Macaca fascicularis: one gene and its partners. The protein of the gene in region 4 purifies or fractionates together with the protein of the main gene of each other region. This does not show direct contact. Links are inferred from orthologs where the notes say so. Each region holds a gene or a part of one and is shown on either strand. Other genes may lie near its edges. The genes, in order: SP3, DDX3X, HDAC2, EP300, TAF15, SMAD1 and MTA2.

Region 1 (3,500 bases), on a different chromosome or scaffold from region 4:
AGAACTAGAACTTAGTTCTGAGCTCTTTTTTTTCTAGTGTAATATATTATTTGTCGAGTGTAGTTTTGGCATAATTAATCTAGTAGTTTTCTGATTGAGTGTGTTTTTTCCATTCCATTTAGAAAATAGGGTAGTTAGCAAATTTTTTACAACTGCAAATTTATTATATTGAAAAAGTCCCTTTTCTTGCTTATTTTCCTTAAATTACCTGTTGGGTTTTTTTTTTTCCCCATCATTGTGCTTCACAGGTATTTTAATATATGGTTTTCATTTCAGGCTTATGCAGAGAAATTCAGAATACATCACTTTGCTCTAGGTTTAGAGATTTTCCTTCAATTAATGGCCTGACTTGCTGGGAAAAATGGCACTACAGTTTATTTTTATCTAGCTTCTGGAGAGGGGATGACTTGGGCAGTATTTACTCAGATTTGTCATTTGAGTAGCTGTATTTATTTTCAAGGAATTTCTTGATTAGAAAGCTGTTCAATGATGGTTGAATATCTGTCTTTATTACTATTTTGTTAAAAAAAAAAAAGTTACATGCTGTAAATTTGACTTTTTTTAAAAGAAAGTAAAGGGGACATAATGCCAGTATTGTAAAACTAATTTGTGTCTGAGTTACTATATTCTTTGATAAAAGCTCAATACTTGTAAATTTTATGCTGGTCAGAAAAAATTTCAGTGGATCCTCCAGGTGAGCAGTAACCTTAAGAAGATAAAGATTGGATTTTAGACACCCTTTAGATTTTAGTATATAGGTTTAAATATTTGTGGTTGACTCAAAATGCCAAGAGACTGAAATGAAACATTCGTCACTGTAATGTTAGGAAAGGTGACTTAACATTGTAATTTCTATACCAGATAGAAGTTGCAGAGTGACATGTGACTTTAATGTCTGATGCTTCGTTTTAAAATTGTTTAGTAAGTACAATTTGAGTGTATTTAAGACAGATCACTATTTTAGTTCAGGCCTAGAGATTTGTATTGGGTTCCACAATTTCTCAGCCTTTAGTGTCTCCTCCCTTTCTTTTCAGTCTCCTTCACTGAGTCTTAGTTTATCTTTATAAAACACAGATGTGATTGCACCACTCACTTGCTTATAAACCTTTTATAGCTTTCACTCGCTATCTACAGGATAAAGTCCAAACAATTTAGTGGGATCTGTGAAACCATTTGCAAGCCTTGATAAAAATGTCTAGTCCTGTTCCCCATTGTTTTCCTTTATGAATATGAGCCTTTTTGGGATCTTTTCTTCAATTTCAAACTTCATATTATTTTTTAGGGTTTCTTTTTGTCTGTGATTTTATTGTTTCTGTGCCTTTATTAGTGCCTCTTTTTTTAACTCACTACAGGGAAATCTTATATTCTAATACTACTTTAAAATATATCTATATGAAATCTTTTTTCAATCTTGTATCTTCCACAGAGTGTTTTGATCATATGACTAGTCTGTGCTACTTTTCACATTGTATTAGCATGGATGTGTGTATGTCTGCTTGGATTGACAGTGAACCATTTGAAGATTGGGATTGTATGTCATGGGTTTACTCACATGTGTATTTCATCTTGGTAAATTACTTTCAAATATTTGAATTTAGTCATTTAACTGTGGTTCATCCACTGAAATAACTAACTGTATATACTTCTCAACTATGTCTTCATGAAAATTAGGTAGTGAGTTTCTTTAAGAAACTTACGATTTTTTTTGTATATCTTATTTGCATTAAGTTATATGGAATGGTTTATGTTGAGATAACTGTGTATGTCTTAACTGATTTTTTGGTCATAGATTCTCACTGAGAATATAATGAAACCCTAGATTATCTTTCTCTCCCTCAAATTGTATTAGTACTTTGTCAGAAAGTTGGCATGCTGTTTTAAAGGGCTTCCAGTGCTGGGCTAGATATGCTTATGTTCCCATTGTCTAATGATATATGGAGTTACTGAACTCACAGGTAGATCTAGAAGGAAGTAGGAGAAGGATGACTTTATTTTGATGATAAATTACATAGGTCTTATTCCCTATCTTTGCCATTGGTCTTGGGGGTAGGAATGACACAAACATGATCTGGTGTTTAAGGGCCTGGGTTTTGGAGTTAAGCTTAGCCTAGTTTTAAATCCTGTCTTACCTATTTGATAGCCATGTGATTTTTGTCCCTCAATTTTCTCAGCTGTGAAATAGGGATAATACCTATCTCATAGGATTATTTTAAGGAGTAAATTACATAATTCTGTAAACCCTTCTCATAGTACTGGCATATAAAAGAAAACCTTAAATGTTAGACATTATTGCTATTATTCCCTTAAGAAAATCTACTCTTGGACGTTGACATGTAGGGTTTTATTTCTTTCTGTTTTTCTACATTGGATTTTTTCCAATCTTGCCTAATCCATAAACTATGGGGATGGTAACTGAGCTGCTAGTAGGTCCAGAAGCATACAGACTGTGGCTTTACCTACTATTCTAAGTTCGCAGAAGAATGCCAGGCATATACCAGAATACAAAAGATATATGCCAGGCATTCTACTGAAAACTTACAGTAGTAGGTAAAGTCACAGTGTGTATGCTCCAGCTTCTGATTCTAGAAAAACCTTTCAAATGGGGCTATGTTGTCATGTAGTCACAGGGCAATGACTTTTTCTCATTCAGTTTTTTTAACATCTTTATTTTTCAATAGTTCATGGAAAAAGTAAAGAGTTTGATAGCTTAATGGAATAGCTCTAGCAATGAGTTTACTTCAGAGTATGTTAATAGATGCCACAAAAGAGTAGATTTCATTGTTTGGTTTTAGGTTTATAGCAATAATAAATCTTTTCTAACTCGGATGACTTAACACACTTTGCTAATGTTTCCTTTTTATACACAAATATAATGGACCTAATTTAGTCATAGCTATCTCCACTGTTGTGTTTTGTGTTTTAACTATGTAGTGTTAGAGATCATAGATGCAGGATTAGAAGATTGGTCTGTGGTTGTGATGAACATTCTGAGAATTTTTTCTGTCCCACTCAAATAGGATGAATTGTCTTTGCAATAACAAAACCAGAAGTGATAATTGTAGTTCATATAGTACTGCTACTGTATTTGAACCCTATTGTGTTTTAAGATAAGTTGAATTTTCAGGTAGTAGGATTTATACCAGTTATTAGAATTTTTTGAGAGTTGGTTTAAATATACCACAAATACATCACATTTTTGTTTTCTTCATCCAGACAGGTGATTTGGCTTCTGCACAGTTAGGAGGAGCACCAAACCGATGGGAGGTTTTGTCAGCCACACCTACAACTATAAAAGATGAAGCTGGTAATCTAGTACAGATTCCAAGTGCTGCTACTTCAAGTGGGCAGTATGTTCTTCCCCTTCAGAATTTGCAGAATCAACAAATATTTTCCGTTGCACCAGGATCAGATTCATCAAATGGTACAGTGTCCAATGTTCAGTATCAAGTGATACCACAGATCCAGTCAACAGATGGTCAGCAGGTTCAAATTGGTTTCAC
Region 2 (3,500 bases), on a different chromosome or scaffold from region 4:
CATGGCTTATGAACACCACTACAAGGGTAGCAGTCGTGGACGTTCTAAGAGGTGAGGTATATATGGTGTAATAGGTGTTGACTTACAGTTTCTAGTGTTTCCTCTGCATGCATGATGTCCAGCGTTAACTTCACAGTATTTAAAAAGCTGAATCATCTTAGGCTTTCTAGATTCTTTGGTAAGGGGTTGTATTAGAATGGATGACACTCCATTCTAATGTTGGGGAAAATATGGCTGGATGGGGAATTGTTTGAATGGAAAAATAGAAATTGGTCATTGGGAAGTATGTAAGAGTTAGGTTACTTCAGTGGAATTTCATCTTCATGTGAACCAACATAAATTTTTTCTTATAGTAGCAGATTTAGTGGAGGGTTTGGTGCCAGAGACTACCGACAAAGTAGTGGTGCCAGCAGTTCCAGCTTCAGCAGCAGCCGTGCAAGCAGCAGCCGCAGTGGCGGAGGTGGCCACGGTAGCAGCAGAGGATTCGGTGGAGGTAGTGTTAATCTGTAACTTCATAGCTTTGGGAAGGGTTTTTTTCCGTTTAGTCATCTTTTTCAAAGTCTAATTAAACCATTTAAGATCAGCACTATAGAAACTTGATGGCAAAGTACTTAAGGGAAGGATTGTATTTAATGATGGATAACTTCATTAATTTATCTCTCTTTTAAATCTCTCATTAGGTGGCTATGGAGGCTTTTACAACAGTGATGGATATGGAGGAAATTATAACTCCCAGGGGGTTGACTGGTGGGGTAACTGAGCCTGCTTTGCAGTAGGTCACCCTGCCAAACAAGCTAATATGGAAACCACATGTAACTTAGCCAGACTATACCTTGTGTAGCTTCAAGAACTCGCAGTACATTACCAGCTGTGATTCTCCACTGAAATTTTTTTTTTAAGGGAGCTCAAGGTCACAAGAAGAAATGAAAGTAACAATCAGCAGCCCTGTTCAGAAGGTGGTTTGAAGACTTCATTGCTGTAGTTTGGATTAACTCCCCTCCCGCCTATCCCCATCCCAAACTGCATTTATAATTTTGTGACTGAGGATCATTTGTTTGTTAATGTACTGTGCCTTTAACTTTAGACAACTTTTTATTTTGATGTCCTGTTGGCTCAGTAATGCTCAAGATATCAATTGTTTTGACAAAATAAATTTACTGAACTTGGGCTAAAATCAAACCTTGGCACACAGGTGTGATACAACTTAACAGGAATCATCGATTCATCCATAAATAATATAAGGAAAAACTTATGCGGTAGCCTGCATTAGGGCTTTTTGATACTTGCAGATTGGGGGAAAACAAACAACAAATGTCTTGAAGCATATTAATGGAATTAGTTTCTAATGTGGCAAACTGTATTAAGTTAAAGTTCTGATTTGCTCACTCTATCCTGGATAGGTATTTAGAACCTGATAGTCTTTAAGCCATTCCAGTCATGATAAGGTGATGTATGAATACATGCATACATTCAAAGCACTGTTTTCAAAGTTAATGCAAGTAAATACAGCAATTCCTCTTTCAACGTTTAGGCAGATCATTAATTAATGAGCTAGCCAAATGTGGGCATACTATTACAGGGAAAGTTTAAAGGTCTGATAACTTGAAATAGGTTTTTAGGAGAATTCATCTACTTAGACTTTTTAAATGCCTGCCATAAATGAAATTGAAATGGTAGAATGGCTGACCACAGCAATGACCAGCCCTCATTAGGGCCTTGGATGATTTTTGGTCTAATAACGCATGCTAGTGTTGATGTTTTTTGGTCAAGAGGGTATGAACAGGAAGAATTAAATGCAGCAGGCTTTATTTTAAATGCCGATTCACATTACTCTGTTCAAGCTGCGTTGAGATGTTAAACTGGCTTACTATAGACTTTGTAAAATGGCTCCAGAAGAGTAACAAACTGAAATCTTTGAGATCACACAGGTTGGAAATATGTACATAACTGCACAAGGTGTCAATTCTGCTCTACAGTGCAGTTTTAGTCAGTTTTAGTTGCATAGGTTTCCATTGTATTTATAGTCTGTTTATGCTAAATCTGGCCAAAGATGAGCATTGTCCACCACTAAAATGCCTCTGCCACTTTGAATTCTGTGCTAATTTTGTGGCCAGAATGCAGTGATGAAAACGCTCCATCTTTTTACAGTGGCATAGGAAGACGGCAAAAATTTCCTAAAGTGCAATAGATTTTCAAGTGTATTGTGCCTTGTTCTAAAACTTTTATTAAGTAGGTGCACTTGACAGTATTGAGGTCATTTGTTATGGTGCTATTTCAATTAGTCTAGGTTTAGGCCCTTGTACATTTTGCCCATAACTTTTTACAAAGTACTTCTTTTATTGCACATTCAGAGAATTTTATATATATGTCTTGTGTGCGTGTCCTTAAACTTCCAATCTTACTTTGTCTCTTGGAGATTGTTGAACGCAGCTTGTCTAGGAAGGGGATGGGACTAGATTCTAAAATTTATTTGGGACCATGGGAATGATAGTTGAGAAGAAAACTATTTGCACACGACAGATTTCTAGATACTTTTTGCTGCTAGTTTTATGTAATATTTATTGAACATTTTGACAAATATTTATTTTTGTAAGCCTAAAAGTGATTCTTTGAAAGTTTAAAGAAACTTGACCAAAAGACAGTACAAAAACACTGGCACTTGAATGTTGAATGTCACCGTATGCGTGAAATTATATATTTCGGGGTAGTGTGAGCTTTTAATGTTAAGTCATATTAAACTCTTAAGTCAAATTAAGCAGACCCGGCGTTGGCAGTGTAGCCATAACTTTCTGATGTTAGTAAAAACAAAATTGGCGACTTGAAATTAAATCATGCCAAGGTTTTGATACACTTGTCTTAAGATATTAATGAAACACTTCAAAACACTGATGTGAAGTGTCCAGAATCTCAGATGTTTGTTGTGTGAATTTTGTTTAGTTGTGTGTTTTTTTTTGTTTGTTTTTTTTTTCAGTGAATGTCTGGCACATTGCAATCCTCAAACATGTGGTTATCTTTGTTGTATTGGCATAATCAGTGACTTGTACATTCAGCAATAGCATTTGAGCAAGTTTTATCAGCAAGCAATATTTTCAGTTAATAAGGTTTCAAAAATCATGTAAGGATTTAAACTTGCTGAATGTAAAGATTGAACCTCAAGTCACTGTAGCTTTAGTAATTGCTTATTGTATTAGTTTAGATGCTAGCACTGCATGTGCTGTGCATATTCTGATTTTATTAAAATAAAAAGTTGAACTGCACAGTCTCCTTTGTTGTTGTCAATTGTGGTTTATTTTCAGAGGTGAAAATAAAGTGCTCTTGCCTGAAAAATTGTAAAATGTTATTTTTTTGGTTGTCATCCAGTGCTGTTTTTTGAGATGCCTCTTGGATACAGAATGACTCTCATAAGTATTTGCAATGAAAGATGAAGATGTTAGCTTGAAATACAGTGAAACAGAATTTTTGTAATAGATGGAAATCTAAAAGGCCCTTACTGATGTACA
Region 3 (3,500 bases), on a different chromosome or scaffold from region 4:
ATGCACCTGTAGTCCCAGCAACTTGGGAAGCTGAGACAGGACAATTGCTTGAACCGAGGAGGCGATCTTGGCTCACTGGAGTGCAGTGAGGCGAGATCACGCCACTGCACTCCAGCCTGGGTGACAGAGCAGGACTCCATCAAAAAAAAAGAAGAAAAAGGGTGGCACGCTCCTAATCCTTTGGTATTGCAGTTAAAATACTAGTTTATAGTAATATCTGTACTATACAGTATCTTCTAGGAATACATAACACACAAATGCATACGCACACATACAAATGCATAACATATACAAATAAGTATATATAATACGTGTATATATCATTTAAGAGTATATGTAGCTGGAACCTTTGTGTCTTTTGAGAGAGATTAATGCCTGGAGTGATACTCATTCAACCAGTAGAAACAAAATTTATTTGAAGTCCAATTAAAGAACAACTCTGATGCTGGGCGCCATGGCTCACACCTGTAATCCCAGCACTTTGGGAGGCCGAGGTGGGCGGATCATCTGAGGTCCAGGAGTTTGAGACCAGCCTGACAAACATGGAGAAACCCTGTCTCTACTAAAAATACAAAATTAGTCGGGCATGGTGGCGCACGCCTGTAATCCCAGCTGTTTGGGAGGCTGAGGCAGGAGAATTGCTTGAACCTGGGAGGCAGAGGTTGCAGTGAGCCAAGATCGTGCCATTGCACCTCTAGCCTGGGCAGCAAGAGCAAAACTCCGTCTCAAAAAAAAAAAAAGAACAAATCTGGTGCTTTAGTTGGTAGCTGTTAAATCTTCGAGAAAGTCTGGGTCGTTCTTTCATCATAAGTAAACTCATACCAACAGATTGTGAACCACAAGAAGGATTGTGCGGATGATTGTCCTGCAGGGTTTTTTGGCTTCATTTATTTTCCACAGGTTTACTCATAAAGTTGCCTTGCCATCTTACATATTCTGCTTATGATGGATTTTCTGGTTTAAGGTAATAATGTAATTTCATTGCCTTTAACTGCTTGTGTTAAATTTCTTTTCTCTCAAAAATAATCACTACAGATTAATTGAAAATGGTTCTTGTGTGCTTTACAATCAGTTTATAAATATTGGAGCATATACTTATTTGTTCTTTATTATTTCCTTTCTCAATTTGATTGTTCCGGTCTCAACTTCTAAGATGAATTCAAAATTGGATCCTTAATAGTCTTTTAGTCTTTTCAAAATGTAGTAAGCAAATGTCAAACTTTTTGTTATAGAATATTCTCTAAGATCTGTTTATGTATTTTAGGATATTGGTGCTGGAAAAGGCAAATACTATGCTGTCAATTTTCCAATGAGAGATGGTATAGATGATGAGTCATATGGGCAGATATTTAAGCCTGTAAGTATTGTTTTCAAAATTGGAATGGAATTTCAGAATGTTATTGGAGATGCTAACATTTGTTATCTTGTGTGTAGATTATCTCAAAGGTGATGGAGATGTATCAACCTAGTGCTGTGGTATTACAGTGTGGTGCAGACTCATTATCTGGTGATAGACTGGGTTGTTTCAATCTAACAGTGAAAGGTAAGCAATTCAAAGGGTGGTATTCCCAGAAAAAAAATGATTTTTCTTCCACCTAAGAACTTCCCATAAAAGTTCTCATTGTAATTTCTTGCCTGCTGTTTTAACACTATACTCTGCATTTTTCCTGGGGTTTTGTCTGTTGTATATATGACTAGAGTTATTCTTGTTACATTGTGGCAGATTTATATGTACATTTATATATGACTAGTTTTTTAGTTTATTGTAGTTTGAACCCAAGGCAGCTATTTTCGAATGTTTTTGTTGACTCAGTGTCAATAAAACAATGCATACTTTATTACTTAATTGGATTATTCTCATTAAGGAAGAAGAGGGTTTAGCTCTCCTCACCACTTTGCCCACAGCATACTTGTAACCCTTCCCACATCTCTATTTTTTACAAATCAGAATTTGGTTGTGACATTTAGTGTTTACAGCAGCATCTTTAAACACTTTTCAGCTTATCCAAGTTTTCTTTGCCGAATAATTGTTCCTAAGTTTCACATTTGCTTAGTTTTCTCTCCACTTATTGCTAAACTACTGGTGTCTCAGTATCTCCATATGTTCAGATCCATTGAGTATTCTGTCACTTTTACCTTCTTGAAAAACAGCCTTCTCATCTGTTCATGTTTGGATGACTCTCTTTGGTAGACCTGGCGGGACATATAGCTGTTCTCTGCTTTTTTTCTATTGTATTGGTTCTTCCTGGTGGCTCTATTCTCTGTCGTTAATTTTTTTCTCATGTTTTCGTGGAGCGCCTTCTCAAGTAGCTTCCTGATAAAAAGTGTGTGGGAGATTAGGAGTGCTGCAGTACATACTAAATTTTGATCACGTGTTGAAGTCAGCATATGATGGAAGTCTAGGCCAAAGCAAAATATCACCATTCTGGAATGAACTTCTAGGGTGTAAGAATAAATCTGAAATTTAATAAGATCTTAAAATTTATTTGTTGGTTAGAAATGATTTTTATCATGAGTGTTTGTGTATGATTTTAGAGGTTTTTTTCCATGTGAACTTTTAGGTAGCAAGTTGATACTCTGCTTTGTATTCTCTAAGATGTAGAGAATTCTCAGATAGAACTTTCTCCAGAACAACTGCTGGTCTTAATGGAATTGGATAACTAAATACAGATATTAAAAGCTTCTTTACTTAATGTTACGATTGCTACTATACCAGCTGTATTAGAATTATGGTATAGTCTGTTATTCTACATTAAGTTAAATGATATTAAATTAATTGTCCCTTTGTAGGTCAGCAGTGGTTGAACAGCATGTAACTTAATGTGTTAATAACCATCTTTTGCCTCAAAATGTTTATAAACTTTCTTTTTTTTTTTTTTTTTTTTTATGAGACGGAGTCTCGCTCTGCCGCCCAGGCTGGAGTGCAGTGGCTGGATCTCAGCTCACTGCAAGCTCCGCCTCCTGGGTTCACGCCATTCTCCTGCCTCAGCCTACCGAGTAGCTGGGACTACAGGCGCCCACCACCTCGCCCGGCTAGTTTTTTGTATTTTTCAGTAGAGACGGGGTTTCCCCGTGTTAGCCAGGATGGTCTCGATCTCCTGACCTCGTGATCCGCCTGTCTCAGCCTCCCAAAGTGCTGGGAGTACAGGCTTGAGCCACCGCGCCCGGCCTATAAACTTTCTAAAACGATCTACCTGATGTACTCTTAAGAGTGTGTATTAACTATCAGTTTTCCTGTTAGACATGAAAGTCCTTAATGTTTTTGTACTTAATAGTTTTTATAATCATTTCACTCTTAGAGAAAAATTAACGTTGTATTTCAGCTAATAGTGTTTCAGTTGTATAAAGCATGTAAGGATATTTGTAATTCCCAAGTGTTAAACTTCATTCTGAGTTTCTCTACTGCCAGCTTTGATTCAGCTTTTTCTTTTTTTTTTTGTTTTTTTTGTTTTTTTTTTGAGACGGAGTCTCGCTCTGTCGCCCAGGCTGGAGTGCAGTGG
Region 4 (3,500 bases):
CAAATTCTTATCTAATAGTTGAATCCTTATTAATATAACTTTTTTTAAGGGTTTAGAAGCTTCTACTTTGATATCGATACTAATATATTCTCAGTCACGTTGATGAACTGAGAAGTCCCATGAGTCACAGCCATTTTATAAAGTACTGTACTTGATGGACAACTGGTTCATCGTGGCCTCTGATAGACAAGGAGGGACAGAATGAGAGAGGAACCAGTGGATCTGCTTGATTTTATTCTTTATAAAATCAAAGTAGTTCCAGAAAATACTGACTTCTCATTAGGAGGTTTCTTATGACAAGCCTTAGGGAAAAGACAGAGAATGCCAGTTATCTCATTAGAATCTAGTGATTCCAAACAGCCACCCTGTGGGACATCATTATATTTATTGTCTCCTTTTCTGTATCTTTGAAATTTTCTCTGGTGAGAAGGTAAAAACAAAAAAGATAGCCAGTCTTGGCCGGGCGTGGTGGCTCAAGCCTGTAATCCCAGCACTTTGGGAAGCCGAGACGGGCGGATCACGAGGTCAGGAGTTCGAGACCATCCTGGCTAACACGGTGAAACCCCGTCTCTACTAAAAAATACAAAAAAAAACTAGCCGGGGCCGGGCGCGGTGGCTCAAGTCTGTAATCCCAGCACTTTGGGAGGCCGAGACGGGCGGATCACGAGGTCAGGAGATCAAGACCATCCTGGCTAACATGGTGAAACCCCGTCTCTACTAAAAAAATACAAAAAAAACTAGCCGGGCGAGATGGCGGGCGCCTATAGTCCCAGCTACTCGGGAGGCTGAGGCAGGAGAATGGCGTAAACCCGGGAGGTGAAGCTTGCAGTGAGCTGAGATCTGGCCACTGTACTCCAGCCTGGGCAACAGAGCGAGACTCCGTCTCAAAAAAAAAACCAGCCGGACGAGGTGGCAGGCGCCTGTAGTCCCGGCTACTCGGGAGGCTGAGGCAGGAGAATGGCGTAAAAACCCGGGAGGCGGAGCTTGCAGTGAGCTGAGATCCGGCCACTGCACTCCACCCTGGGCGACACAGCGAGACTCCGTCTCAAAAAAAAAAAAAAAAAAAGATAGCCAGTCTTTATTATTTTCTTTCACTCGCTTCTGTATAAATGTGAGCTCCTCTGAAGCAGACATCTTTGAAATCCCCACACACTGCCAGATAATGATAGTTATCAATGAAATAGTTGCTGGCTCTTTGATGTACAACCAGTATTTACAAGTCTTAATTCTCCTGTTCTTAAGTATAATTAAAGGAGGTGAAATGGGCAGAGCAAATGAAAACACCGTGAATGAATATAAGCCAAGAAATAGGTGGCTAATTCTGCTGTCTTGTTGCTTACCTTACATTCTGATTGTATCATTGGCAAACACTGTGTGTGTGTCACCCACTCCCCTTGTTTTTCTGCCCAGCTTTCCCAGCCAGCTGTAAGCATTGAAGGACAGGTGTCAAACCCTCCATCTACTAGTAGCACAGAAGTGAATTCTCAGGCCATTCCTGAGAAGCAGCCTTCCCAGGAAGTGAAGATGGAGGCCAAAATGGAAGTGGATCAACCAGAACCAGCAGATACTCAACCGGAGGATATTTCAGAGGTGAGAGAGTAGGGCAATTACTGTTTGATTTGGTTAGGACCCCAGTCTAGGAACCCAGTTTTTAAAAAATATTACAGAAAAATACTTTGATAATTAGATCTCATGGCATAGATTTTGCATGAGAAAGGATGTTCAGACTACTGATTCCCAACTAGATATCTTTGGAATACTAAAAACTCTTACCTTTTAGTCTAAAGTGGAAGACTGTAAAATGGAACCTACAGAAACAGAAGAGAGAAGCACTGAGTTAAAAACTGAAATAAAAGAGGAGGAAGATCAGCCAAGTACTTCAGCTACCCAGTCATCTCCAGCTCCAGGACAGTCAAAGAAAAAGAGTGAGTCTCTTAAACCGTTTGTTCTGGAGATAACATGAAGAAACCAAAAACCCAGGGCAGAATTGCAATCATGCCTCTTAGGCCTCAGAAGTTGCCATTAATGTGATTTCATTAACCTTGAAGCCCTGGGCCTGGTCTCTTCATTGTTATTAATAATTTTTCTTTCTTCCTTTCTTTATTTTTTAATATTCACTTGCAGCAACCAATGAGTTAGTCGTTCCCCTCATTTCTTCAGGGTTCCGTGTGTTAGTATCCCCTAAAAATTTTCTTATTTTTCAAGAGAGAAATGTTTGTAAATAGCCTTGACTAAAATGCAGGAAAGAATAGCAATAATAATAGTATTTGTCATTCACCTCCTGTGTGCTGAGTACCCACATTGTCTCATTTAATAATTTCTTTCTTTGTCTTTTTTTTTTTTTTTTTTGTTGGATTCGGAGTCTCGCTGCATCGCCAGGCTGGAGTGCAGTGGCACGATCTCAGCTCACTGCAAGCTCCACCTCCCAGGTTCACGCCATTCTCCTGCCTCAGCCTTCCGAGTAGCTGGGACTACAGGCGCCCGTCACCACGCCCGGCTAATTTTTTTTGAATTTTTAGTAGAGACAGGGTTTCACTGTGTTAGCCAGGATGGTTTCGATCTCCTGATCTCGTGATCCCCCTGTCTCGGCCTCCCAATAGTGCTGGGATTACAGGCGTGAGCCACCGCGCCCTGCCTTTTTTTTTTTTTTTTGAGGCGGAGTCTCGCTCTGTCACCCAGGAGGGAGTGCGGTGGCACGATCTCGGCTCATTGCAAGCTCTGCCTCCTGGGTTCATGCCATTCTCCTGCCTCAGTCTTCTGAGTAGTTGGGATTACAGGCGCCCGCCACCACGCCCAGCTAATTTTTTATATTTTTGGTAAAGATGGGGTTTCACTGTGTTAGCCAGGATGGTCTCCATCTCCTGACCTCGTGATCCGCCTGCCTCAGCCTCCCAGGGTGCTGGGATTACAGGCATGAGCCACCATGCCCAGCCGTCTCTTAAACTTAAACCTAACATTCGTCATTAAAATAGTACGTGTCTCTTTTTCTTTGGGTCTAAAATACCAAGCAGTTTAATGAAGGAGTCTTCTGTTGTGTGCCCCTGACTCCTTGTAGTATAAGACAATACCAGATCTAGTCTAGTCCCTGACTTGTTAAATACTGATGTCATGAAGAAAGACTTTTCCTTTCTTGCTTGACTGCATCTCCCTCTAAACATGAGTATCTTGTATCTTGTGAACCCTTTTTTTTTTTTGGAGATGGAGTCTCACTCTGTTGTCCAGGCTGGAGTGCAGTGGCGCGATCTCGGCTCACTGCAACATCTGCCTCCCGAGTTTAAGCAATTCTCTTGCCTCAGCCTCCTGAGTAACAGACTAGCGCACCACCACATCCAGCTAACTTTTTGTATTTTTAGTAGAGATGAGGTTTCACCAGGTTGGCCAGGCTGAAACTCCTGACCTCAAAGTGATCCGTCCACCTCAGCCTCCCAAAGTGCTGGGATTATAGACGCAAGCCACTGTGCTTGGTCCCGTGGACTGTCCCATTTGGCAGTCTCTTCATA
Region 5 (3,500 bases), on a different chromosome or scaffold from region 4:
TTTTGTCTCAGTGAACTCTGATCCTTTGACAATACTGCTGGTACCAGTTCTTTTGGTGTTGGTGGTGTACTTGATTTGGGGCACTTATTTTTGTACCTTTAAGGCCTAGTACATGGTTTGGTTCATAACAAGTGCTCAGTAAACATTTGTTGAATAATTGAATGAATAAGTGAATGAATAAAAGTGGAAGCACATTCACTAATAATCTTCTCTCAGTTTGAAGATTCAGTTATTCCTTGTCCATGCTCAATTTACATTTAAACGTTTCCAAAGTGAAGAAAGAAGTAACTTTTAAGATTGGGGGGCCGGGTGCGGTGGCTCACACCTGTAATCCCAGCACTTTGGGAGGCCAAGGGGGGTGGATCACAAAGTCAGGAGATCGAGACCATCCTGGCTAACATGGTGAAACCCCGTCTCTGCTGAAAATACAAAACACAATTAGCCGGGCGTGGTGGCGGACGTCTGTAGTCCCAGCTACTTGGGAGACTGAGGCAGGAGGATGGTGTAAACCCAGTAGGCGGAACTTGCAGTGAGCCGAGATCGCACCACTGCACTCCCGCCTGGGCTACAGAGCGAGACTGCATCTCAGAAAAAAAAAAAAAAGATTGGTGCTTTTCATCTAAGTTACTAAGGTTCTTGTAGCTAAGATTGTATTTTAACTCATACTGTTCCACATTGCTGTTTTGCCATATCACTTTAGCAGAATGGAATTTGACACAGATATAATTCTGAAAAACGTAATTCCAGATGATTTTATGATGACTTGCATTTGAGTTGTGTGCGCATGTGCCATTTTCTATAAGGATATGTGTGGCCTAAAGAGCCATTTATGATTATTTGAAGCCTTAGAAATGAGAGTGGTTATTTGTGTGTAATATTTTCTTTTTTGTAGATGACCGTCGTGATGTGAGTAGGTATGGAGAAGATAATAGAGGATATGGCGGGTCACAGGGAGGAGGTAGAGGGCGTGGGGGATATGACAAGGATGGAAGAGGTCCTATGACAGGATCAAGGTAAGTATATAGATAAAGATACCTACATTTTTTCTTATTCCTCTTTTGTTTTTGGTGTTACTTAGCTGGATCAATTCCAGCATCTAATTTAGTTAAGAGACTTAAAAAAGGGATTATGTATTGGAGAAAAAGGCAGAAATTAAAACTGTATTTTCAGTGTTAAGATCTCACATAAATGACCTTAGAATTGGCTATGTTAGCAGTTAGTTTATGTGGTACATGTTAAACACTAGTAGAGAAACAACTATGGTTGTGATTAACCACTTGACTTTCCTGCCAGAGCTAGAATCTAAACTCCTTTAAAAGACAACTCTGGGAAATCCAGTGTTTGTATGTAAAAATAAAAGGTAAGTTAATTCTAGATTGAAGGGCAAGGGCTATTTCTTAATCTCAAATCTCCTTGGGAAGGGAAAGTATTAGGAGGCAGTAATGGAGTAGAAAGGTGGGGATGGCGAGTAAGAGAAAGATTTAATGTAACGAAACTGTTTTGTCCCTCCTCTTAAGTAAATAATTATTGGAATAATTAGTGTAACATCACATAGTAATGTGTATTTTGTCTTGACTAAGTTGTGTAAAGGAATGTCTTTCTAATTCAGCTTTTCTTTTCTCCATGCTAGTGTTACCAGGTTTTGGTATTTATTTACTTACAGCATATGTTATGAAGCTGGTTTTAAAATTGGTTTTAGATACATCTGTAAGTTTACTACTTTGACCATAAAAACAAAAATGAAAAAGTAGTTGACATCTGTCCTCAGAAGAAGTTTGCAGGTTGCATATTTGTGTGTAAATACACAGGCTAAAAGGTAATTTATGTTCCTTGGGAATTGAAATGGTCAGTGGCCTGTTGCTGAAACTTATCAGTCATATATCAGCACCGGTTCATTCTTTTGCACCTTAGGGACCATCTGTCCCCTGAGGTGACCTGAGAAACAACCAGTTGCCCACAGACTGTTATTTCTTCAAGCCAGGATTTGATTTCACTGCCTTGTATTTCTCTATTTTTAGTGTACAGTGGTTTGATTTTATGGAAAACCTAAATTTTAAACATATTTGAAAAATGTTATAAGACTTGGACATTAAGTCTGTTGATTGATAGCCAAAGTCAGTTTACCAAAGTAAAACAAGTAGATTCTATGCCTCTTCATTGTCGAAGAGCAGTCTGCCATCATGTGGATATGAATGGACAATGTAAAGTGACATGGTACTTACTCTCTACCTAATAATAGCCTCCGTCCTATCCCAAACAAGATAACCAACAGGTATATTTAATTTACCAGTTAATATGTTTTGGATAATTGGCTGCCTTGAAATGCTTTATGTTTTATAGTATATCATAGCTTTAGTTTTCTTCATAAGGAAATTACAGTTATATCCTAATCGATTATTAAACTATCACTGTGTCTAAGAATGGAAGAAAAAGATAGGGAATAGGTAGGGAAGTCATTATAAATATATTTTCATTGGCCGGGCATGGTGACTCACGCCTGTAATCCCAGCACTTTGGGAGGCCAAGGCGGGCGGATCACGAGGTCAGGATATCAAGACCATCCTGGCTAACACGGTGAAATACTAAAATACAAAAAATTAGCCAGATGTGGTGGCGGGCACCTGTAGTCGTAGTCCCAGCTACTCAGGAGGCTGAGGCAGGAGAATGGCGTGAACCCGGGAGGCGGAACCTGCAGTGAGCTGAGATCGCGCCACTGCACTCCAGCTTGAGTGACAGAGCGAGACTGCGTCTCAAAAAAAAAATTTTTTTTTAATGTATTTTCATTTGTGACTCATCTTGTGACTAGAAGGTTGAAAGGACTTTGAATGATCCTCCTGACAAAGAAGGGAAGGAGTACCTTAACCAACTGTGGGGTCCAATTAAGTACTTTTATAAACCCCTGGCAACATACTTCATATAATTTGTAGCCTAGATACTGACTTATAAACTAAGTTTTTTATTTTCGTTTAATACCCCTTCATACAAAATCATATGCAGAAGTCCAGTATGTAGTTGGTCAAAATGATGCTGATCTGGTTTCAGTGGGGGGAAAGATTGGCTGAGGAAGGGATCTGCAGTCTTGCCTTATACTCTGTTATTTGTTGAGATGTTCATGAAAGGCCTGTTTTAGAAATCCATGTGGATGCCGATTACTCTTACATTGAGTTGGCAAACTGTGTGAAAGGCCAGATAGTAAATGTTTTGGGTTTTGTAAACCATATGGTTTCTGTTGTAACTTCATTTCTGCCCTTGGAGCACCAGAGCGGCCGTAAATAATAGGTAAATGAATAAACAGGATTGTGTTCCAGTAAAGCTTCATTTATGGGTACTGAAATTTGAAGTTCATATAATTTTTTTTTTTTTTGAGATGAAGTCTCGCTCTGCTGCCCAGGCTGGAGTGCAGTGGCACCATCTCAGCTTACTGCAGCCTCCACCTCCGAGGTTCAAGCAATCCTCCTGTCTCACCCTCCTGAGTAGCTGGGACTACAGGCATATGCCAC
Region 6 (3,991 bases), on a different chromosome or scaffold from region 4:
CTTTCTGTCTCCATAGCCTTGCCTACTCTGAGCATTTCACATATGTGGAAGAATACAACGTGTGGTCTGTCTTCTTCCACTTCACATGTTTTGAAAGGTTATCCATGTAGCATGCATCAGTATCAGTACTTCATTTCTTTTTATGGCTGAATAATGTTCTCTTGTATGGGATACTTTATACTATTTATCAAGGGAGGGTTTTCAATAGGGGAGTGGCCTGATCTGAGTGGCATTTAACAAGGTTCACTTTCCTGTTGTTCTAAGGAGCAAAGGATGATCAACTGCGTCAAACGCTGCTTTTAGGGAAAATAAGATGAGGCCCACGAATTGACCAGTAAGTGCTCAAATAGGTTAAGGGAAAAAGGAATTTAATTAGAAGGCATATTCTGACTGCTGGGAGTGATTTTTTTTATTTTTTATTTTTTATTTTTATTTTTTTGCTTCATGTGAAATTTATTCCTCAAAAAAATCATTCTTGTCTAACTGTAACTCAACATTATAGTAATTATCCAAGATTTTATGCAGTTTCAAGAGTTAGCCAAGAGAAAAGTTGACTCTTAGAAGATATTTTCAGTGTCTATGCAGATCAGGTTGGTAAGAGTTAAGTGCGAAGGAGTTGGCATCATCTAAAAGACTGTAAAAATTGGACCAAAAATGTGGAGTGTTAAAGCAGTATCTCCTTGTGGCATGTCATTTAGAGCAACAAGGTTACCTACTCGAATCACTGGATCCTGAGTTGACATAAAACGCATCTGTTGACTCAGGGTTTGTATAAGCACGTGCAGTAGTTACTAGGCTATCCAATTCTGGGTACGTACAACTTCTGGGGCGTGCAAATTATTGGAGAGTGCGTGAGGGGCAACGAAAACTAGACATAAAAGGGCGCGTCTCCAAGGATAACTGTCAACAGGCACTCCACGTTTATAGAACGATTCGGTGGGCGCGGTGGAAGCATTAATGAACATTTCAGAAAATAAAAACATGGAGTATCGAAATTCACTTGCAGATAATGGACCAAGTCCACTCCACCGGGACTAAAAAGGCAGGGTTAGGAAAGCCTGAACTCCGCGACACTGTTTTTTCTCCAGGAATAAACGGGACGTGGGGCTGCGGGTAGAAGGGGGTGGCTCCGGCCGCTCCCCCGCGCCGTCCTCCGGCCCCGGCCGTGCTGCGCTCACGCCGGTCGGGCCGGGAATTTGGAGAGGATCCCTGGTCGCGCGGCAGCGGCGGCGGCGCGCGGGTGAGCGGGTGAGCGTGTGAGCGAGCGGGCGGGCGGGCAGGCGAGTGCGCCGGGTATTGGCAGCCGAGGAGTGGAGGCTGGGCGGCTCCGACTCCCTGACGCCAGCGCGACCAGATCAATCCAGGCTCCAGGAGAGAGCAGGCGGGCGGGCGGAGAAAGGAGAGGCCGAACGGCTCAACCCGGGCCGAGGCTCGGGGAGGGACCCTGGGAGCGGAGCGCGGCGCAGCGCCCGGCCGGCCAGACCCGGGCCGCGGGACCCCGCTCGCCCGGCCACTCGTGCGCCCGCGCGGACTGGCGCGCCGCTAACCCGGTAAAACGAAACAGACCCAAACCCAACTTTCCCTTCATGCCGCGTCGCCGCCCTCCCCTCGGCGCCCCAGGCTTTCCAGCGCCGCCGCCGTCGCCTCTGCACGCGTGGGGCCACCGCGGTCGTGCTGGGCTGGGGGCGCGGGCGGCGGCGGGGAGGGGGCTCTTTCTGCGCCGGGCGGGCCGCGAACCCCCCACCCCCCATGATGGCGCCTCCCTGCCGCTCTGAGGAGCGAACCTGCCACCGCGTCTTCTTCTCGTGCCCAGCCCGCCGGGCACCCCTGGTGTCTTTGTTGGGTCGTCTGCCGTGGGAAGCCCAGTTCCCGGGCCCCCAAGCCTCGGCCCTCGGGCCCGACCGCGCTGGGACCTCCCCGGCCGCGCTCCCCCTCCGCGCGCTCCTCACATCTCTCCCGTGCGGCAGCCGGGCCGAGGCCCGTTCGCGCGGCCCGCGGACCCATTGTGTCCCCCGCGCCGGCGGGGCGACTCCTGAGGGAGCTGGAGGACGACCGCCTGCGCTGCCCTCCAAGGCGCCTGGTGGAGCGGGTCTCGCGGGCGGGGGACCCCGGCGGCCCGGGCCCCTCCACATCCCGCACGGGTTTCCTTCTCGGCCCCAGCGAGCCTCTTTGGGGTCGAGGTCAAGGAAAGTTCGCACCGAAATCCCCTCTAATTTATTCAAAGGTTTGGCGGCGGCGCGTAATTTTTTCCCCCTCTTCCGCCTACACCCGCTGCGTCTCCTGGTGTCTCATTCCTTTCCCTTTACCGGAGTCGATTGCCTCACTGCATGTGTATTCGTGAGTTCGCGGTTGAACAACTGTTCCTTTACTCTGCTCTCTGTCTTTGTTAGTGTTTCTCGGGGTTGTTTCTGTAGGAAGGTGGGGGTGGTGGGCGTGAGAGACAGACGTGGGCTTGTTTTTCTAGTTGCTGAAGCTGTATGAAGGCTTTAAAGGGAGAACGTTTCCTTGATGTGCTTTAGGAGGGGAGGAGGAACAAATGCCTGCCAGATCTCACAACTACAGTAGCTGAGCTTTTGTTTATTTTGAAGCGCATGCAATTTTTAAATACACGGTGCAAGATAACCAGTAAAGGCTCGTTCCTTCTGAAAATTGAGGCCGGTCTCAACCATCTCCTGAGAAAGCATCGTTTTCGTGAGTGCTGAGACAACTGTCCTTTTTCTCTGCCCTCCCCCCTCTTTTCTTTCCATTGTATCTGAAGTTTCAAAGTACGTGGAATGATAAAGAAGTTGCATGATTTCTGTTATGTCTTCCTGTTGCTGCAACTCTCAGCGGCTAAATCTCAGAATGCCTTTATTTCAGAACATCTCTGGGTCTAATTGTCTGTTGTGGATAACTTGCCCACACCTCGGTAACACAATGAGAAAACTGTTCCCTGCCCATGTTGATTTTTCATCTTGTTTGTAATTACTTTAAATTGTACTGAAGGTGGGTGAGCTGTATTAAAGAAGAATCGGGGCAGAAGTGTTCACTGCCCCAGCATTTTCAATTGGTGTAAATATTGTTGCATCAGTGTTATTCTGATGTAGGTGCCAGATCTAAATATGCTGTACTGATTAAAGTGTTTGTTCTGCCCTCTCCCACTCTCTTTCCTATTTGCAGTTATTTGATATTTCTGTGCAGGTGGTGTATCATTGGTGTAATACTGCAGTTCTTAGGAAAGTGTAACTAGGGTCGTGAGAGATGATTTTTCTGAAGATGGGTGATGCCAGAGCCTCTAGAGGATCCAGGCAGGATCAGGTTTCTTCTGAGGGTAGGGATTTGTCCTTGATTTAGTTTTGACCCCTACAACCATAGGTATGTAACCAAATACATTTTACCCCTTGCAGTATCCTTTGATTTCATATCCTTGAAGAGCTGATGACCTTTGTGTTTTAGAAAAATGACAGTTTTTAGGCAATTAGAGACATTGACGTCTTACACTTCTTGGAATTTAATTTTATTTCTACTAAGTTCATTAAGGCATTAAGAGGAAGTAAGTCACATTTTCTCAACTACGTTGATTACATTTATTAGTTAAAAACTAAATTTCACTTTGTAATTTTGATTTCTAGCAATTCTGGGTTAAAGATAAAATCTAATAACTTAGTGGATTGGAAAAAGAAGTAACTTGGGTGTAATTAGACAAGCATGTTTAAGCTGCAGTAGCCTACATAATCAAGGCCAAGTGTGTGTGTGTATAAAAGATCTCATTTGTGTAGTCTTACAAGGCTAATGGAGGCATCACTGAGGCTTTATAAATAATGTAAGTTGGGTATAATGTAGAGTCTCCAGAGACAGCAGAGAAAGCATCATTACCAGCCTTTTCAACCTGCTTGAGATCTTAAATTGATTTACAGCACTGAACTGGTGCAAAATGATACATCAGGATGACATGGGGTCAGCCTGTAAAAGTCTATGATGTCAGCCTATTAGTTCAGTCATCATAATTAAA
Region 7 (4,140 bases), on a different chromosome or scaffold from region 4:
AGCCCTAACTATCCCTCATTCTCTACTTGGCTAATAATAGTTCCTAGGGTTTTCAAGGACAACACCTCTCAAGCTAGTGCCAACATCTTCCTCCTGAAAGAGCTGCAGCTTGCCCTGAAACCTAGTGGAAGGGGTTAATCTGGCTAGGCGCCAACCAAAGTGGGAGGGGGCAGAAAAGCCTCAGGCCCAGGCTCATTGGTGCATTGTTCCCAACCTCAGGGAGAAGGGGGGGTTGTGCAGTAGGCTCCACCCCTCGCTTGTGTGCTCCGGAAACCCTGTGCTAAGGCAAGGGGGACCACACCCCCAACACCCCTTCTGATTGGACAAGGCCAAGGTCAGCCCCTGCCAGATGGGGCTGGAAACCCTAAAGGGCCAGGGAACTTGGTTAGCCAGGATCCTCTTTAACCCCTTCTCACCCAGAGCAGTCTGAAAAAGGAAAATGATTTAGAAAGGTGGAACAAAAGGAAGGAAAAAGAAAACCAAAGCAGGAAAGGAAAAAGAAGCTAAGAAAATATTTTTTTTTTTAAAAAAGAAAATGAGACCTTAAAGAGGATGAAAATAGAGCAAAATGAAAAGGGAAAGATGTAAAATGGGGGGTGGCAGGTGGGGAAATGGGCAAGGTGAGAAATTAAAAAGTGCAAGAAAACTTCCAGCCATCTTCTAACTTCCAGGTATTCTCACCACCTTGTGATTACAAAATAAGGCTGCTTCTGTTATGCGGGCTTCTCAGTACAATCTCTTCCTCTTCACCTTGACCTTCAGTCACCACCTACTGTCCCAGTGTACCCCAAACTGCCCCCCTTTAGAAAAGCATTCTGTTTCTCTAAACCCCGTCTTCATCCCCTAAATAAACCGTATCGTCTCTCTCCTACTCTCATACACAAACCATATCATGGCTTTCCTTATCACAATCTCTCCACCCTGCTTCCAACCCCAACGTGTAAAAACAGGTCTCCCTCCTCAGGCCAGGCATTTCCCACCCTCAAACTCACACCTCTGCCTTGGGCATGCTACCAGGGGAAATACCTGCAGGGACATGCGCAGGCCTCAGATCATGGGGAGGGGGAAAAGAAAGGGATGAAGATACTCACTGGCATTACTATCAGCCAAGCTGTTGAGGCTACTAGAAATGTCCCTGCGCCGGAAAAGACAGACGACCTTTGCCTCCACATTTCCATTTGCAGTCTAAGGGGAGGAAAAAAACAAAAACAGAAACAAAACAACGTAGCAGTGAAAATTGATCATCTGGGAACAGAAATACACAAAGAGACAAATAACAGTAAGTTTCGGAGGGACCTAAATTAAAAAGCCCAAGAAAATATGAGTAAATACTTACATTCAAGGACAGACTTCCAAATCCCTTTCCTTTGCCCCCAAGAGACAGAATAGTAAAGTTCCTGCTAAGCTCTCAATAGCCTTTCCTGAATACATCCAATTAATGAATGAATGAATATGAATGGGTACTTAGTATAGGGTCCTCTCTTCCACCTGAAGTTAGAAACCTCAGAAGAGACCACTGGGGGAGGGAGGGAGAGGGATTCTGCTCCACTCACCTTGTTGAGTTCCTCAATCCGTCTAACCAGGTAAGGATTGCTGGAGGAGTTCTCAAAATAGACGTAATCTGTAAGGGAAGGGAGGGGCGAGAACCACGAAGATCAGAGGAGATGGGAGAGACGCAGAGCACCACAGTAGGAGAGAAAGTTGGCCTGAGTGGATCAAAAGAAGATAAGGATTCAGGCAGAGAGCGCGCTGAGATGTGAAAGTGTAAAGACTAAGAGAAAATAAGGATGTCCCCCACCCCCACCGCACCTAGTTCTAAAATCAGATCCATTACTCAAAAGTGAGCCTTAAGGAACAGGCAAGAAGCAGGGGTTCCCCTGCAGTCCCCACAACTCAGCAACGAGTTGCACCTCAGTCGCGGCGAAGTAATTGTTCGCTCTAGCGCAGGGCCCCCACCTTTTCGAACTGAGGCGCACAATAACGCCTGGGAAGAGGAAACCTCCGGGCGGCTCCTCCGCGGTGGCAAAGCCGTCGCCCCAGCCCCTCGCGTTCCCTCCCCACCCTGTCAGCTCCTTCGGAACCGGTTTCCGAAGCCCACTCCGTGCCCCGAGGAGCCCCCGACGCAGCCCTGAAAGTGCCGTCGGGGCTGCCCGCAGCTTCTCTCCAGGAGTCTCGGCGCCCTGCCGCGTCGCGGTTTCCCGCACCCTAGCTCCTCGTCTCCCGGTTCCGGTTCCGGTCCGCGCTCCGGTCCATGCCGCCCCATACGCTGCGCCTCGCGCCACCCGGTGCCGAGCCCCTCCGGTCCCGACCCCAACCTCTCCCGCCCCGGACCCTGTACCCCTGCGCCCGGTACTCACCTCCCACCCGGTACATGTTGGCCGCCATGGCCGTTCCCGCCGCCGCCTCCGGCCGCACAAAGGGGTCCGGGAGGCTCGCGGGGGCAGGGCTCGGCTAGAGGCAAAGCCCTGAACGGTGGGCTGGCGCTTCGAGGGAGTCTCACTGGGGCCCGCGCAGCCGTCACCTCCGCTGCCTCAGCCGTCGCGGTTCATCCCGGCCCGCGCTATCGCCGCCGCAGCTATCGCCTCACTCCCGGGACGCTGAGGCTGGCCCCGGTCCGCTCGGCTTCTTCCGGAACGAGCTCGGCTCCTGCCAGGCGAGAGCCAGGCTGCAGCTGCCCCCACCCCCGCCGAGTCCCACTAGTCGTTGGGCTCTGCCGGCCGCAGGGAAGGCTTGCCCGGCCCGCCTCAGGGTTCGCCTCCTTCCGGAACACCTTCGGCCGATCCGGAGAACAAGGCCCACTGCTCGGCTCAGGTCGGAGAGCGAGACCCCGCAGATCGGCTACTTCCGGAAGAAGTTCGGCTCCTGTCGGCCAATCGCTCGGCTATTTCCGTTGCAGCTCGGCACCCCCCCACCCCTTTTTCCGAGGGCGGGAGAGGAGTGGGGCTTAACTCTGTCCTAGCTGGAGCCCTGCAGCTCCTCCTCCCGCCCCGAAGACTCGCGCGCCTTAGCGCTTCGCCAGGTTATTTGCAAGCGGCTTTGCCTGTTATTTGCATAAATGGTCTACGCTCCCTTGCCCTTTCCGCACGCCTCTTTTCCTTCGTCCCCACCCCACAGGGCCCCGGAGGCACCCAGCAGCGCCCCACAAAAGCACCGGGAGGCGACTTTGGTTCTGGTTTATTGCCCCTCAGCAGGCAGCGGGAGTCAAGGCCTAGGTTGGGGCTGCCCGGCTCAACCAGCGGGTCTAAACAGTGTGTGCAGGGGCGCCGTTCGCGCCCTCCAGGGAAATGCACCGTCGGGAATGTTTCGAAGTCAGTCGAGGAAAGAGTCGGCCCCTGGTCGTGGGGGATTAGGGCGGGGCAGAGCGGGGCGGGGCCACGCCGCCAGGCCAGTAGGTCCCGCCGGCAGCGATCAAACGTCGAGGGAGGAGGCGGGGGACAGGGAGGGGGTTCGAGAGGGCGTGGCAGGCGCCGGCCCCGCGCCCCCAGCGCCCAGCACTCGCCACTGGAAGATGCTGGCGTCCTTGCCGCCCAGCGAGACGAGGTGCGAGTCGTCGTGCGTGAACCGGACGCTGGTCACGTGGCTGCCGTGGCCCCCGTACATGCGGCTCGGCGCCTGGGCGGGAGGGAAGAGTTGCAGTGGCGGCGGAGCCCTCGGGCCCACCCGTCCCACCCCGGCGGCCCCCGCGGCCTCACCTTGGCACGAGCGCACGGGTACTGGAATAGATGCACTTTGCAGAAGTCGTCGGCCACCGCCACCACGCGCTCGTTGTGGGAGCGGCACAGGGAGTTGATGTCGGTCCCATCGGAGCCGTCCGGCCACACGCCTAGCACAGTGGCCGGCCTCAGCCCGACCTCCTACCCACCGCCACCCACGGCCCAGAGCTACACCGTTTCAGGCGCTCCGGCAGCCGCAGCCACCCACTGTCGCGTTCCAGGAAAGCCTTCCCGGTCCCGAGGGCCGGAGGGGCCTCCTGGGCTGGATCTTCAGGTTTCTGGACTCTCACCCAATGACACACGCCCAGCGTTCCGAGCCCAAACTGGGCTCCACCTTGTCCCCCACCCCTCCAGCAGGGTTCCACGCCCCTGCTCACCGTAGACGTGGAAACCCAGCACACAGGTGTAGGTAGCCCATTCCCGGTCT

What was found.
Region 1: the proteins of EP300 (region 4) and SP3 purify together in Homo sapiens (affinity purification with western blotting; 4 studies listed by BioGRID, with this or other methods). This does not show direct contact. The link is inferred for Macaca fascicularis from reciprocal best matches to the Homo sapiens genes EP300 and SP3.
Region 2: the proteins of EP300 (region 4) and DDX3X purify together in Homo sapiens (affinity purification with mass spectrometry; 3 studies listed by BioGRID, with this or other methods). This does not show direct contact. The link is inferred for Macaca fascicularis from reciprocal best matches to the Homo sapiens genes EP300 and DDX3X.
Region 3: the proteins of EP300 (region 4) and HDAC2 purify together in Homo sapiens (affinity purification with mass spectrometry; 4 studies listed by BioGRID, with this or other methods). This does not show direct contact. The link is inferred for Macaca fascicularis from reciprocal best matches to the Homo sapiens genes EP300 and HDAC2.
Region 5: the proteins of EP300 (region 4) and TAF15 purify together in Homo sapiens (affinity purification with mass spectrometry; 3 studies listed by BioGRID and IntAct, with this or other methods). This does not show direct contact. The link is inferred for Macaca fascicularis from reciprocal best matches to the Homo sapiens genes EP300 and TAF15.
Region 6: the proteins of EP300 (region 4) and SMAD1 purify together in Homo sapiens (affinity purification with western blotting; 5 studies listed by BioGRID). This does not show direct contact. The link is inferred for Macaca fascicularis from reciprocal best matches to the Homo sapiens genes EP300 and SMAD1.
Region 7: the proteins of EP300 (region 4) and MTA2 purify together in Homo sapiens (affinity purification with mass spectrometry, with the first as the bait; 3 studies listed by BioGRID). This does not show direct contact. The link is inferred for Macaca fascicularis from reciprocal best matches to the Homo sapiens genes EP300 and MTA2.

What each region holds. Positions count from the first base shown.
Region 1 is NC_088386.1:69,481,362-69,484,861, reverse strand, and holds part of SP3 (transcription factor Sp3), read left to right. Parts: intron 1-3,213; coding exon 3,214-3,500. UniProt on the Homo sapiens protein: Transcriptional factor that can act as an activator or repressor depending on isoform and/or post-translational modifications. Binds to GT and GC boxes promoter elements. Competes with SP1 for the GC-box promoters.
Region 2 is NC_088395.1:41,348,695-41,352,194, forward strand, and holds the end of DDX3X (ATP-dependent RNA helicase DDX3X), read left to right. Parts: coding exon 1-51; intron 52-353; coding exon 354-493; intron 494-680; coding exon 681-760; 3' UTR 761-3,262; downstream 3,263-3,500. UniProt on the Homo sapiens protein: Multifunctional ATP-dependent RNA helicase. The ATPase activity can be stimulated by various ribo-and deoxynucleic acids indicative for a relaxed substrate specificity.
Region 3 is NC_088378.1:17,988,119-17,991,618, reverse strand, and holds part of HDAC2 (histone deacetylase 2), read left to right. Parts: intron 1-1,264; coding exon 1,265-1,357; intron 1,358-1,434; coding exon 1,435-1,543; intron 1,544-3,500. UniProt on the Homo sapiens protein: Histone deacetylase that catalyzes the deacetylation of lysine residues on the N-terminal part of the core histones (H2A, H2B, H3 and H4).
Region 4 is NC_088384.1:10,463,487-10,466,986, reverse strand, and holds part of EP300 (histone acetyltransferase p300), read left to right. Parts: intron 1-1,410; coding exon 1,411-1,590; intron 1,591-1,780; coding exon 1,781-1,925; intron 1,926-3,500. UniProt on the Homo sapiens protein: Functions as a histone acetyltransferase and regulates transcription via chromatin remodeling. Acetylates all four core histones in nucleosomes. Histone acetylation gives an epigenetic tag for transcriptional activation.
Region 5 is NC_088390.1:42,128,215-42,131,714, forward strand, and holds part of TAF15 (TATA-binding protein-associated factor 2N), read left to right. Parts: intron 1-892; coding exon 893-1,013; intron 1,014-3,500. UniProt on the Homo sapiens protein: RNA and ssDNA-binding protein that may play specific roles during transcription initiation at distinct promoters. Binds to ssRNA containing the consensus sequence 5'-AGGUAA-3'. Can enter the preinitiation complex together with the RNA polymerase II (Pol II).
Region 6 is NC_088379.1:150,367,580-150,371,570, forward strand, and holds the start of SMAD1 (mothers against decapentaplegic homolog 1), read left to right. Parts: upstream 1-1,191; 5' UTR 1,192-1,248; intron 1,249-1,352; exon of another isoform or gene 1,353-1,550; intron 1,551-2,290; exon of another isoform or gene 2,291-2,691; intron 2,692-3,991. UniProt on the Homo sapiens protein: Transcriptional modulator that plays a role in various cellular processes, including embryonic development, cell differentiation, and tissue homeostasis.
Region 7 is NC_088388.1:11,457,002-11,461,141, reverse strand, and holds the start of MTA2 (metastasis-associated protein MTA2), read right to left. Parts: upstream 2,801-4,140; 5' UTR 2,386-2,800; coding exon 2,358-2,385; intron 1,622-2,357; coding exon 1,554-1,621; intron 1,186-1,553; coding exon 1,092-1,185; intron 1-1,091. Other genes in the region: EML3 (echinoderm microtubule-associated protein-like 3), read right to left, coding at 3,409-3,612, 3,693-3,823, 4,091-4,140. UniProt on the Homo sapiens protein: May function as a transcriptional coregulator. Acts as a component of the histone deacetylase NuRD complex which participates in the remodeling of chromatin.